Diceros bicornis minor: one gene and its partners. The protein of the gene in region 3 interacts with the protein of the main gene of each other region in a biochemical or structural test. Links are inferred from orthologs where the notes say so. Each region holds a gene or a part of one and is shown on either strand. Other genes may lie near its edges. The genes, in order: CASKIN1, CNTNAP2 and CASK.

The links.
Region 1: the proteins of CASK (region 3) and CASKIN1 interact in a biophysical measurement, tested with the Homo sapiens proteins (2 studies listed by IntAct, with this or other methods). The link is inferred for Diceros bicornis minor from reciprocal best matches to the Homo sapiens genes CASK and CASKIN1.
Region 2: the proteins of CASK (region 3) and CNTNAP2 form a complex in vitro, tested with the Homo sapiens proteins (2 studies listed by BioGRID and IntAct, with this or other methods). The link is inferred for Diceros bicornis minor from reciprocal best matches to the Homo sapiens genes CASK and CNTNAP2.

The regions. Positions count from the first base shown.
Region 1 is NC_080765.1:46,222,401-46,226,144, forward strand, and holds the start of CASKIN1 (caskin-1), read left to right. Parts: upstream 1-1,057; 5' UTR 1,058-1,311; coding exon 1,312-1,405; intron 1,406-3,744.
Region 2 is NC_080742.1:94,000,586-94,004,329, reverse strand, and holds the start of CNTNAP2 (contactin-associated protein-like 2), read right to left. Parts: upstream 2,553-3,744; 5' UTR 2,509-2,552; coding exon 2,451-2,508; intron 1-2,450. UniProt on the Homo sapiens protein: Required for gap junction formation. Required, with CNTNAP1, for radial and longitudinal organization of myelinated axons.
Region 3 is NC_080781.1:36,527,267-36,531,010, forward strand, and holds the start of CASK (peripheral plasma membrane protein CASK), read right to left. Parts: upstream 2,382-3,744; 5' UTR 1,817-2,381; coding exon 1,758-1,816; intron 1-1,757. UniProt on the Homo sapiens protein: Multidomain scaffolding Mg(2+)-independent protein kinase that catalyzes the phosphotransfer from ATP to proteins such as NRXN1, and plays a role in synaptic transmembrane protein anchoring and ion channel trafficking.

The DNA of each region.
Region 1 (3,744 bases), on a different chromosome or scaffold from region 3:
CCCAGCGCCTGCTGCTTCCCCTCCATCACCCTCTGGCCACTTTCCTCCTGGACCTGCTTGACACTATGAGCCATAGGAAGAGGAGTGGCACCATATTTGCGAACCTCACCAAATGGTCCTAACAGTTTTGCCCGGTTAGGGTGATGATCTGCCCCTTCCTGCAAATGAGGAAACCCAGCCTGAGCCAGGACACAGACTCCAGCTGATCTGTCTCTGTGGAATGCTGCAGCCACGACAAGTTGAGGGCCAAGGCCCAGGAGGTCAGACGAGTGAGACCTGTGTGTGTGTAGGAGGGTGTCAGCATCTGTCAAGCAGGACTGTCCTGCCTGGGGCTGCCAGAGTTTGTGCTGGAGGCTGGAGGGTAAGCAGGCCTGGGTGGGGGCTCAGATTAGTGCTGGGGATGGGGGATTGAGCCCCCCTTGGCGGTAGGTGTGGGGAGTTGCACTCTAGTTGGTGCTGGGGAGCTGCACTGGGGTTCAGATTGAGGCTGGGGGGGCTGGTGCTTGCATTGTTTGTGGAGAGAGCCACAGGCTGCTGGGGAAGAAGGTGCAGTTGTGGGGGTGTGAGTTCCCTGACACCGAATTCATTATTGGGAGATTCCTCTTCACAATCCCTTGACACCTCCCACGGAAACCACGGGCCAGAAATGTCTGACAGCCTCTGGCGGGCCGGCTCGCCTGCCGCCGGCGCCCAGGTCTCTCCTACCCCGGTCCTCTCCCGCCCACTGCCTCCGAGTCCCTCCCGCTTTGGATCCCGCAGCCTCTGGAAGCCTCTCTCAGGTTCAGCCTCGCGCAGCCGCCGAGTCGGGGCTCACTGTCCGGCCCCTCGGCGGCTGCTGTCCCCAGCCCCTGGCGGTCACCCGGGGCCGCGGGGCGTCCGCAGAGGCCGGGCCTGATCCGCGCGGCCCGCACGTGGGGAGGGGGTGTCTCGGGAGGCCGGGGCCTGATATAGGGGCGGAGCCAAGGAGCCGGGCGCGCGGCCGGCGCGGGCGGACGGAGGTCGGCGGCCGCAGGAGCGGGACCCACGCGTCCGGGAGACGGCGCCAGGTGCCGCGCCCCCGCCCCGCGCCCGCCGCCGCCGGCCCGCGCCCCCGGGCCGCCCCCCGCCCGTGACGCGCTCCCCGCCCCCTCCGCGCCGGGAGCCGGAGCCCGAGCCGGAGCCCGAGGACGGCGAGGGGCGCGGGCGGCGGAGGAGGCGGCGGGGGAGGGAGGAGGATGCGGCCGGTGCCGCGGGGCCGCCGCCGCCGCCGCCGCCTCTGAGCCGCGCCGAGCGCACGGAGCGCAGCCGCGTCGCTGCGGTCCCGGCCGCGCCATGGGGAAGGAGCAGGAGCTGGTGCAGGCGGTGAAGGCGGAGGACGTGGGGACCGCGCAGAGGCTGCTGCAGAGGCCGCGGCCCGGGAAGGCCAGTGAGTGTGGGGGGCGCGGGGGGCGCGGGCGGGAGCCACAGCGCACCCCAGGGGCCATCTCCAGCGCCGAGCCCCCCACCCCTCCCGGCGCAGGGTAGGGAGGGGGATGTTGTCGGGTCCCCCGGGGCGGGGCGGGGCCAGCTTGCCCAGACCCTCGGTCCGCGCCCCCCGCTCCCAGCACTCAAGGAGGGGCGGCGCCAAGTGCCCGGCCGTCACCCCGAGCCCCCCAGCGGACACCTGGCGGCACCCACCTCCTTAGCGCAGGCGTTCGCATCCCTCCCTCCGTCCCTCTCCCTTCCCGGGCTGCGGGCTGACAGCTGGAGGTCTCTGCTGGGGCTTTAAAGGGCGAGGCGGATGCCCCCCCCAACTATGGAGAGAGAGAGGGGGCCCTTGCGGTGAGGGGAAACCACAGGGCTGACAGTCCCTGTCAGACCCCCTCCCCGCCCCACGTTTAATAACACGCTTAGCAGAAAAGGGGGGGCAGGACCATGCTGGGGGTGTGGCTGCCGAGGCATGGCCGGCTGGGGGCCATTTACTAATGGGGGAGCAAAGGTCCAAGGTCGCCCAGCCCAGGGCAAGCTGAGCTCCAGGCACGTGCGGACCCTGCAACAGACCCTAGTCCTCTCTGGCTTCTCTGCTGGAAAAGGGGGCTGTGGGGGGGAGGGGGGCTCCCACTGGCCATCCTGAACCCAGCGGGTGGGGGCCCCAGGAAAGGGTTGGAGCTTGGAGCTCTGATCCCGGGACTCAGCCTGGCTCAGCGGAGCTTCCCCGGGGGGCCGCTGGAGATGGATGGATGGGCGTGTGGACCAGCCGCGTGTGCGGCTGCGCACGTATGGCCGTGTCAGTGTGTCAGGGCACCTGTGCGGGTGTGGGCAGGGCTCTGCGGGGTGGCACGTGGGGTCTGAGTTCCTCCTCCCCATGACACCCCCAGGACTGTATGTAAGCCAGGGAGGCCCCCTCCCCTCTCTAGAGGGGGCATGCTGAGAACTGAGATGGCCTCTGGGGCAGGTGAGGGTGGGTCCTTGAGCCCCAGGAGGACCCCTCCACTGCAGCCCCTGCCTGGCCAGCTCCTGTCTGCTCTGTGCAATTAGAGAGCCGCACATCCGTGCCTTGTAGGCACACATACACAGGTTGGCCCTGCCTTCCACACCGGAGACCCAGGGATGGTCTGCCAGTTGGGGCTGGCTTGCGGGCCTCAGGGCTCAGACAGGGAGGACTTCAAGGTCGAGGCAGCCTCAGCTGAGCCTGGAAAGCCGGTGAAGGAATTGAGAGGTGGAAGGAAGGCAAGGTAATGCTTCCACCTAGTGGCCGTGCAACCTTGGGCACAGACAATTCCAGCTCTCGGGGCCTCAGTCTGCTCATCTGTAGGATGGGGACATTTGTAGTCCCTGCCTCAGAGCATTGTTTTAAGAACAGTGAGAGAGCACATGAAGCCCAGGCCCTCAGTAAGTGGTCAGTAAGTGCTAACTATGACCAACCCTTAGACAGCCCCGGGTGGGCAGGCAGGGAAGTGGGGGCATCAGATTTGGGGGCTCCTCCTCCCTTCTACTCTGGTCACCCGGGGAAGGTGTGGGGACTTTTACCTTTCCCTGGGTCTCTGCCTTCACCCCTGCCGAGTCTGGTCTCTGGGTGAGAGACACCTGCCCTGGCCCCCTTCTCTGGGCTCTCTGACTCACAGGGGCGGGCGTAATAAATCAGACAGAGAAATCCCTCCATGAATTAGCTCGGTCGTCATGACAACGCTGGCCTGCTTTGGAGTAAGATATATTTTGATTCAGCAAAGTACAGCTGGAGTTTGGGCCATGGCGGGGCAGGGAGCATCCAGCAGTGCTCTCTAGGGCCCCCAGACTCCAGAGGTGTTCTCCCAGGATCCCTGTTTCTGTGTTCTCCTCCCCAACCCTCCAGTGTCTCCCCAGGCTCTGCCAGCCCCCCATCCCGCCTCGACGGGAATGCCCCTTGCATGCAAGGCACAATGCCTAGCAGTTGTCCTTGATGGGGAGAAGAGACTGCTCTGGAGGGAAAGTCTGGGGGTGTGGTGGGTGGGGAGGGAGCTGGCCTCCTGCTGGGGGGGGACACCCTGCCTTTCCTTCTGGGCCAACCTCCCCTTTCCCGACTTCACGGGAGACCACAGGCCAGCGCTCCTGTGCTCTCACCTTGCCACCAACAGTTCCCTTCCAGCCTCAGGCCGAGAACTCCCTGCCTGCGGGGAGCTGGGAGGAGACTGCACTGGCCCTGCCTGCCCCGGGGAGGCCACAGGGCTCAGCTACTCTGAGATGGGACCCCCGAGGAGGCCAGGATCACATCCCTTTAGGGGACAGATGTGGCTGTGTGGGGTGGCC
Region 2 (3,744 bases), on a different chromosome or scaffold from region 3:
TGATGTGATCTTTTCAACGTTCTGCACTTGGTATAAAGATGATGCTTTTCTTCTGTTGTAAGGACGTTTCCACGTTCTTCAACGAAGTATGATATTATAGTCTCAAGGCAAAATATTTTGAGAATGCTTCAAATTTCACTAACCTGATGCTCTCCCATGATGATAATTTTTCCCAAAATGCTGACACTATCTATTCTGAGTTATTTAAAAAAATGACTTTTTTTGCATACAAAAATATGTGTAAAATTTTTATCATATCTGTTTTTTATTATGACATAAATTCCCTGCTACGAGATAATTTATTTAACATATTTAACATTCAATAATATTTTATAGAATATTTAGGAAAGAGAGAGAAATAATAATCTCTAGAGAATTTCGTTTCCTATGACACGGCAAAGTGAGGAGCCTGAAAATTTCCAGTTCAAAACACCTAGAAATGCTAGAGAAAACGTAACACACATCCTTTAAATTACCTATCTAAGAGACCAAAAGGTAGGAGAAGCTTTCAGGGGTCAAAGAAAAGGAAAAGCTAAAATTCAGGCTGCCAGATGATGCTGGGCTTTTAGTATTTAGAGGGTATTTGCTGATATTTGTAATGCAGAAGTTTGGATTTTAAAGGCCAAGCAGAATTAGAAATCCAGTGTTGGATTTGTGCAAGGAATAGGAACAACTCTCTCCACTCCACCCCCCCCCACACACACCACCACACTACCACATAAAGCCTAAAAATGCTAAAATCTCAGTTGAAGTAGATACTGGAAAAAAATTCACTAGTCAGCAAAGAGAGATGACAAGGAAATTTGTCTCTCTTTTCCTGGCCTATAGAAAGAAAAATTAAAAAAAAAAAATACTTACTGGGAACTCATAAGCCATAGGCTTGCTCAGCAAAATTATCAATTGCTCAGCTTTCAAATCTACACTGACGATAGGGTGTATCCCCCAAGCCAAAAAATTAAAAGAGAAAAAGTGGCTTTAAGTTGCTATCTTTGAAGGAAGAGTAAGTTCTCTCCAGATTGACTCTGGAATTACAGGATTCCTGAAAATAAAAACCTGAGAAATTTAAACTCACAATCCAAAAATATAAAACGTAAGAAAACAAAGCATAATGGACAAGATTCAGCAGAAATATCACACATAAAAATGTGGCCCCCCACAAATTTCAGATAAATTTTAGGATTGAGAATATGGTAAACATTCAGAAATTATTTGAAGAAACAAAAAATGGGATCAAATATATAAGAAAAGAATGGGATAGTATTAAAAGTAACCAGTCAAATTTGATAAATGATCAAATAGATCTTCCAGGAATGAAAAAATACTTTATTTAAATTAAAAATTCATTAGTTGTATTAAGCAGATGAAACAAAGCTACAGAAGATATTTGTGAACTGAAAGATAGATTGGATACTCAGAACACAGTCCAAAAATAAAAAGTGATTAAATATATTAAATATGAATTTTTAAATGTGGAGGATAATGAGGTCTAACATATATTTGATTAAAATTTCAGAAGAAGAGGAAAGAGAATGATGGAGAAGCAATTCAAAGAAATAATGTCTGAGAGTTTTTCAGAACTGATTAAAGATTCAGATTCAAGGAGGACAATAATTCTCAAATAAAAATTTAAAATAATCTAGTGATAGACATAGAATACTGGAAGAGCAGATCACCAAGGAGCTTAAAAGTAGCAAAAGAGAAGACAGATGACTCCTCAGGAATAATACTAAAGCAGACAGGAGACTTTTCAACAAGGGAAAACAAAAGGTAGAATGCAGTAGAATAATACATTTCAAGCGCTGAAAGAAAATAAAATTCCAATCTAGAATTGTATGTCAAGCTAAATGATCAAACAAGAAAGAAAGTGAAATTAAGACATTTTCAGACTAAAACTGAAGCAATTGACCACCAACAGACTCCCATTAAAAACCATCAAAACTGGGGCGGAGTCAAGGTGGCGGCGTAAGCAGACTCGGAACTCACCTCCTCCCGTGGACACAGCCAATTTACAACGACTCGTGGAAAAATTACCCCTGAGACAGAACTGAAAACTGGATAAGAGGAACTCCTGCAACAACGGACAATCCTAACTGAGGTAGAAGAGGCAGAGACTCCCTTCCGGAGAGGAAAAACGCAGCCTTCACGAGCCGCCAGCTTCACGGCCGCCGGGAGCAGCGCACAGGTACGCAGCCTCCCTGGAGACGCGGGGCCCTGAGCCGGGGAGCGCCCCCGCTGGGGGCATTTTGTGGACCCAGCACAGTCGAGACCAGCGGCATAATATCTGACTGTGCCTGCTACTAAAACACTGGGGAGCACCCCTAGAAAACCCGGTTCACAAAGAAACTAAAACTGGCTCTTAAAGGGCCTGCGCGCAAACTCACCCGTTTCAGAAAGCATCCTAAAATCACCAGAAAGAAAGGTGCACAGTGCTGTGGTGAAAAGAGACTCACCTAATAGGCCCTGAGTGCATCTCGGTGAGCGGTGAGACCTCTCCAGGGACTGGGACATTGGCGGTGGCCATTGTTGTGGCCCGGTGTGGGTGTGCTGACACAAACGCCATTGGAGTTCTCCCTGAGGCCTGCTAGCCCAGGGTCTGCCTCACCCACTAGAGCACCGATTTAATCCAGCTCAGCCAGAGCAGGCAGCCCACCCTAGAGACTGGCCCCACCCAACAACAAGCCCTCAGGCAACGTGTGGGCCTGCATAGATTGGTGACTGGATTCTCTGCAGCCTGGCAACTGAGCAGACTTGAGCAGGGCAGGGTGTCCACAAGCAGCTGGTGGAGAGTGTGGGGCGGTGGCAGAGTGTGTGGGGCTCCCGCGGTGGAGAGACTGGGTCCACATGGGGAGGTCGGGGCGCTCACAGAGGGCAGGGCTGTGTTGCCTGTGTGTGTGGACCTGTGGGCGGCAGGGTTTGTCAGCTGCAGAAGACTTGTGCTTCTCAAAGACCCACATAGGAGGTTTGCCCCACCTTCCAAAGCCTGAAACGATTGGGTGCTCCTGTGCCTGAGGCCAGCCCCACCCAGCTGCAATCCTCAGAGAGCTGACAAGAGACCTAATAGGCTAGAGGCTTACAGCAATTGTAAGGCCCTGAGCCTAACAACCTGCCACGCTGGGGGCCTACTCACTTATAAGAAATACTGCAACACAAATGTGGTATTAGAACTCACAGCCAACTGTGCTGGGGATCCCCACACCTGATAAAGAGACTGAAGGGCCCACAACAACTACAAGCAGCTGAGCATTACAGCAGCTGGCCAGGAGCATAACTCAGCCTCCCTGGGCGCCTACAGGGACAGCAAACAGGCCACAACAGAAGGACACACGTAGCCCACATAGGGGTCACCCCTGGAACATTGAGAACTGAGGGAAGCACACTGCAGGACTCCTAAGGCATCACTTGCATAAGGACACCTATCCAAGAGCAGGAGACGTAGCTGACCTACCTAATATGTAGTCACAAGCACAGGGAAAGAGGCAAAATGAGGAGGCAAAAGAATACATTCTAAGTAAGGGAACAGGACAAAACCCCAGAAAAGGAACTAAGTGAAACAGAAATGAGCAACCTACCCAATAGAGAGTTCAAACTAAGAGTGTGAAGGATGCTCACTGATCTGGGGAGAAGAATAGATGAACTCAGTGGGAGTGTCAACAAAGAAATGGAAGATATAAAAAAGAACAAATCAGAAATGAAGAATACAATACTGGAAATGAAAAATTTATTAGAGGGACTCAAAAGCAGAGT
Region 3 (3,744 bases):
CTTTTGCAAATGCAAATTTTATGAAACCTAAACACAGAGCAAGTATTTCTGAAGAAAATTTAGCTTTGTATGAGGATTGAGATGTGCTATTAGTGTAAAATACACATTGGATTTCAAAGAAGAAAGAAAGGATGTAAAATATCTCATTAATAATTTCTATACTGATTACATGTTGAAATGATAATAGTTTGGATCTATTGGGTTAAATAAAATATTTTATTAAAATTAACTGCACCTCTGTTGTTAATCTTTGTAATGTGGCTATTAGAAAATTTACATATGTAATATTTACATATATAAAATTACATACGCAGCTGGCATTATATAGCTTTTGGACAGCACTGCTCTAGAGCACTTCCACAACCACTTTGTCAGGGTGCATTTGGATTTCCTTCTTCTAGTAGACAGGCTGGTCATGTAACAATAGAGGCAAGGAGTAACATGTCCTTGCATCAACTGGGTCTGAGGAAAGTGTGTAGCAAGCTCTACTCACAATTTCACCAAGTGAGGCAACACTGAAATACCTCAACATGGAAGAAAAAAATGATTTATCAGCACTTAAACAAATTGAAATTCAGTACTGCAGACAACTTGAAAGAGAGCGAGCCAACTGCTCTAAGGTCTTGGTTTCATTTCCCAACTGCGGACCTTAAAACAGACAATAAAGCACCGCTTCCAAAATGAGGTAAAATATTTCAATGGCAGCTATCTAGCAATCCTTAATAAATAAGCAAAAATTGCTCTTAAATCTTATCTCCTCAACTTCCAAAGCCACAGAATACACATTGAACTAGGAAATCAACTTCAGATCGCCAGCATTTCCTTCACAAGCAAATTAGCAGGATTGTGCACTTGGAATACTGTTTGACAAGAATGAAAAGGAAACTATTCAAAACAGATTTAAGGAATGGACAATTAGATGAGGAACTGCAGATTTAATTCTCAATCAGCACTGTGATTAATCTGATTCTCTGCTTTTCCCTAGTGTAATTATACAACACAGATGAAAGGATGAGCATTTGGACTGTCAGTTCTATATTCTAGACCAGCCCGGTGACTCAAAGCAGACGGCTCTACCACGCTAACCACCATCCCAACAACAGTCGAGGGAAGACTCGAACACTGATTTACAGTCATTGCATAACGAGGCATTAAAAATTCGGCTACCCCCAACTCTTTCCACGTTCGTCTATACCAGGCGAGGAATTCGCTGAAACTGAACGCACCCCGTCTTAAATGACCCCCTCCAATCCGGGCAAGGGGTGAACACAAAGGCATCTATCTAATATCCTGCACAATAGACACACACCCCACAATTAAAAATCCTGGACGTTCTTTCTCTATCTTTCCACGCAAGTAAAGGAAACGCAAGCTGCTCTTTTCGTTAATGGTTTGTGCCACACGCGAGATAACAATAACCCCAACTGTTCCCAGGAAGCAACTATAAAATCGGTTCTGCCACGTCCCTGTGCAACCGTCAGATAAAATGCAGACAGCAGATTTCAGCCGGCCCCACGCCTCATGGGGTGGCTGACCTCGGCTCGTTCGCCTCCACGGATCGCTGAGAACCCCCCCCAGACCCCCGCCCGGCAGAAGGTCCAGGTACACGTCTATAAATACTCCCGGGTGAGGAGGACAAGGGAGGCGGAGGGGAGGGAGGGCAGGGGGCAGGCCTGGAACGGGTGCGGGCGCGGGAGGACCCGGGCATCACTGAAATGCATTTTTCCACACTCCCGCTCCCTCGCGTGAAGACTCACTTGCCGATCACCTCGCACAGCTCGTACACATCCTCGAACAGCACGTCGTCGTCGGCCATGGTCCGGAGGGGACAGCGGCCGCAGCGTGGAGGGCTCCGAAAACGGGGGTGGGGGCGCCAAAGAGCTCAGTGCCCGGCCCCTGGCTCGCCTCCTCCCCTCAGGACCCGCGAGCCCTCGGAGCCGAGGACGCTCGAGCGGGGCTGCGAGGCCCGGAGACTGCGGCGCCTTCCTCTGCGGGCGACCGCCCCGGCGCGGGCGGCGGGGCCGGGGCGCGGGAGCGAGGGCGGCCCGGGCCCGGCGCCGCCCGCCCGCCCGCTGCTCCTCGCGCTGCTCGGGCCGCGCTGCCCGGCGTGCGGATCCTCGGGGACCGCGCGGCGCCGCGCTCTCTGCTCGTCAGCCCGCGCGGGCCGCGAGGCCGCGACCGCTCCCTCTGCTGAGGCTGGCTCCGGCGCGGCGTGGGGCAGCTCGGGCTACAGAGGGGGCCGCGGCAGGACCATGGAGGGAGGATCGCCGCGGAGGGAGGTGGCGGCGGCAGATCAGCGCTGGGGACCAGGAGGCGGCGGCAGAGACGCTCCCTCCTCCTTCTCCTCCTCCCGCCGCCACCGCCCGCCTGGGAGTGGGAGGGGGCTTCGCGGGACTGGCTCTCTCTGCGGGCGGGAGCCCCGGCCGCCTCCTTCAGCTCCTCCTCCTCCGCCTCAGCCGCCGACCAGCTCGCGCGCCCCGCGCACCCGCCTCGCGCACACACGCCCTCCTCCCCCTAAGGCCGCGAGGCTTCCCGAACCACAGGCCCCGCCCACCCCAGCCAGTCGGGAGGCGGTGGCCGAGGGAAAGGAAACGGGGCTGAGCGGCGCATGCGCGCGCCGCCGGCCACGTCACGGCAAAATGGGAAGGCGCCGGGAATCTAGAAGGGGCGGGGAGTTGGCCCGCAGGGGCGCGCCGGCGGCAGCTGCTTAGGCGGGGGCTGGTCGGGGTCGTCACCTCCGCGACCAAGCCGGTGAAGGGGCTGGGGACAAAAGGTCCACTACTGAACGCACGTTCTTAGCTCTCTGCGGCGAAAGACTCGGAACTTCAGCCGCTCCCCCGCTTGTTTTGTAACCGCAGGAAGCCTTTCCCAGTTGTTGCTGGGGAAAGAGGCTGGGAAAGGGTCCTAATGAATGGGAAAGCAAGAGGAGAGGTGGCAAGGTTGTCACTCCAGACCGTGCTGGGCGGCGGATGCTTTTAGAGCTACTCTGTCATTCCTTAGTGAAAATGGCTGGGGAAGGGAGGTCGTCCACCTACGAGTAAAGGACCAAACAAAAACTGTCCAGGAAGGCGTGCGACAACAAATGGCAATTTATAGAGACAGCTTCTCCTGCATTCTGCCCCAAACACAACAAATATCTATCCAGCGCCTGCCCTACTAGAGACAGCCTCGATAGAGGTCAGGAAGGCAGAGACACACAGAAACTTTAAGCCCCTTTGTATATCTCCCCCCCACAGGCCCCCAAGCCCCCCAGCATCTACTCTGCTCCCTAAACTCCCTATAAATGTTAGATATGTCAGGATAAAAATGCAACTAGAAGGAGTGGATGCACAGGGTCAGCCAGGGAGCAAGGTTCTGGGTGTTGCCGCTGTGCTAGGTTGTATTCAATATGAAGATTTCTGTTTGAGCATGTGCGGAATGAGCCAACGCCATCAGACAGGTATATGCCTCAGTTGAGGACCAATAAAAAAAAGTCTTTGTTCCTCTGCACAGCGGAAGTGCCCAATTAGTTCATAAGTCAGCTTCTAGAAATCATCTGGTAATATTCTCAGTGCGGTAAGAAAACAAAAAAAAAGATAGTATTTACCAAAGTGTATGTGGGGTGGGTGGAGATCCACAGCCTATTTTCTCTTCAGAAACGTTTTGTGCAAACCCTTGACCACTCCCTTAAGAGGCTGAAAGATTTGCCAGTGTTAAGGATTTGAGTACTAAACCTTTTTTGAAAAATGCAAATCAGAGGAAAAA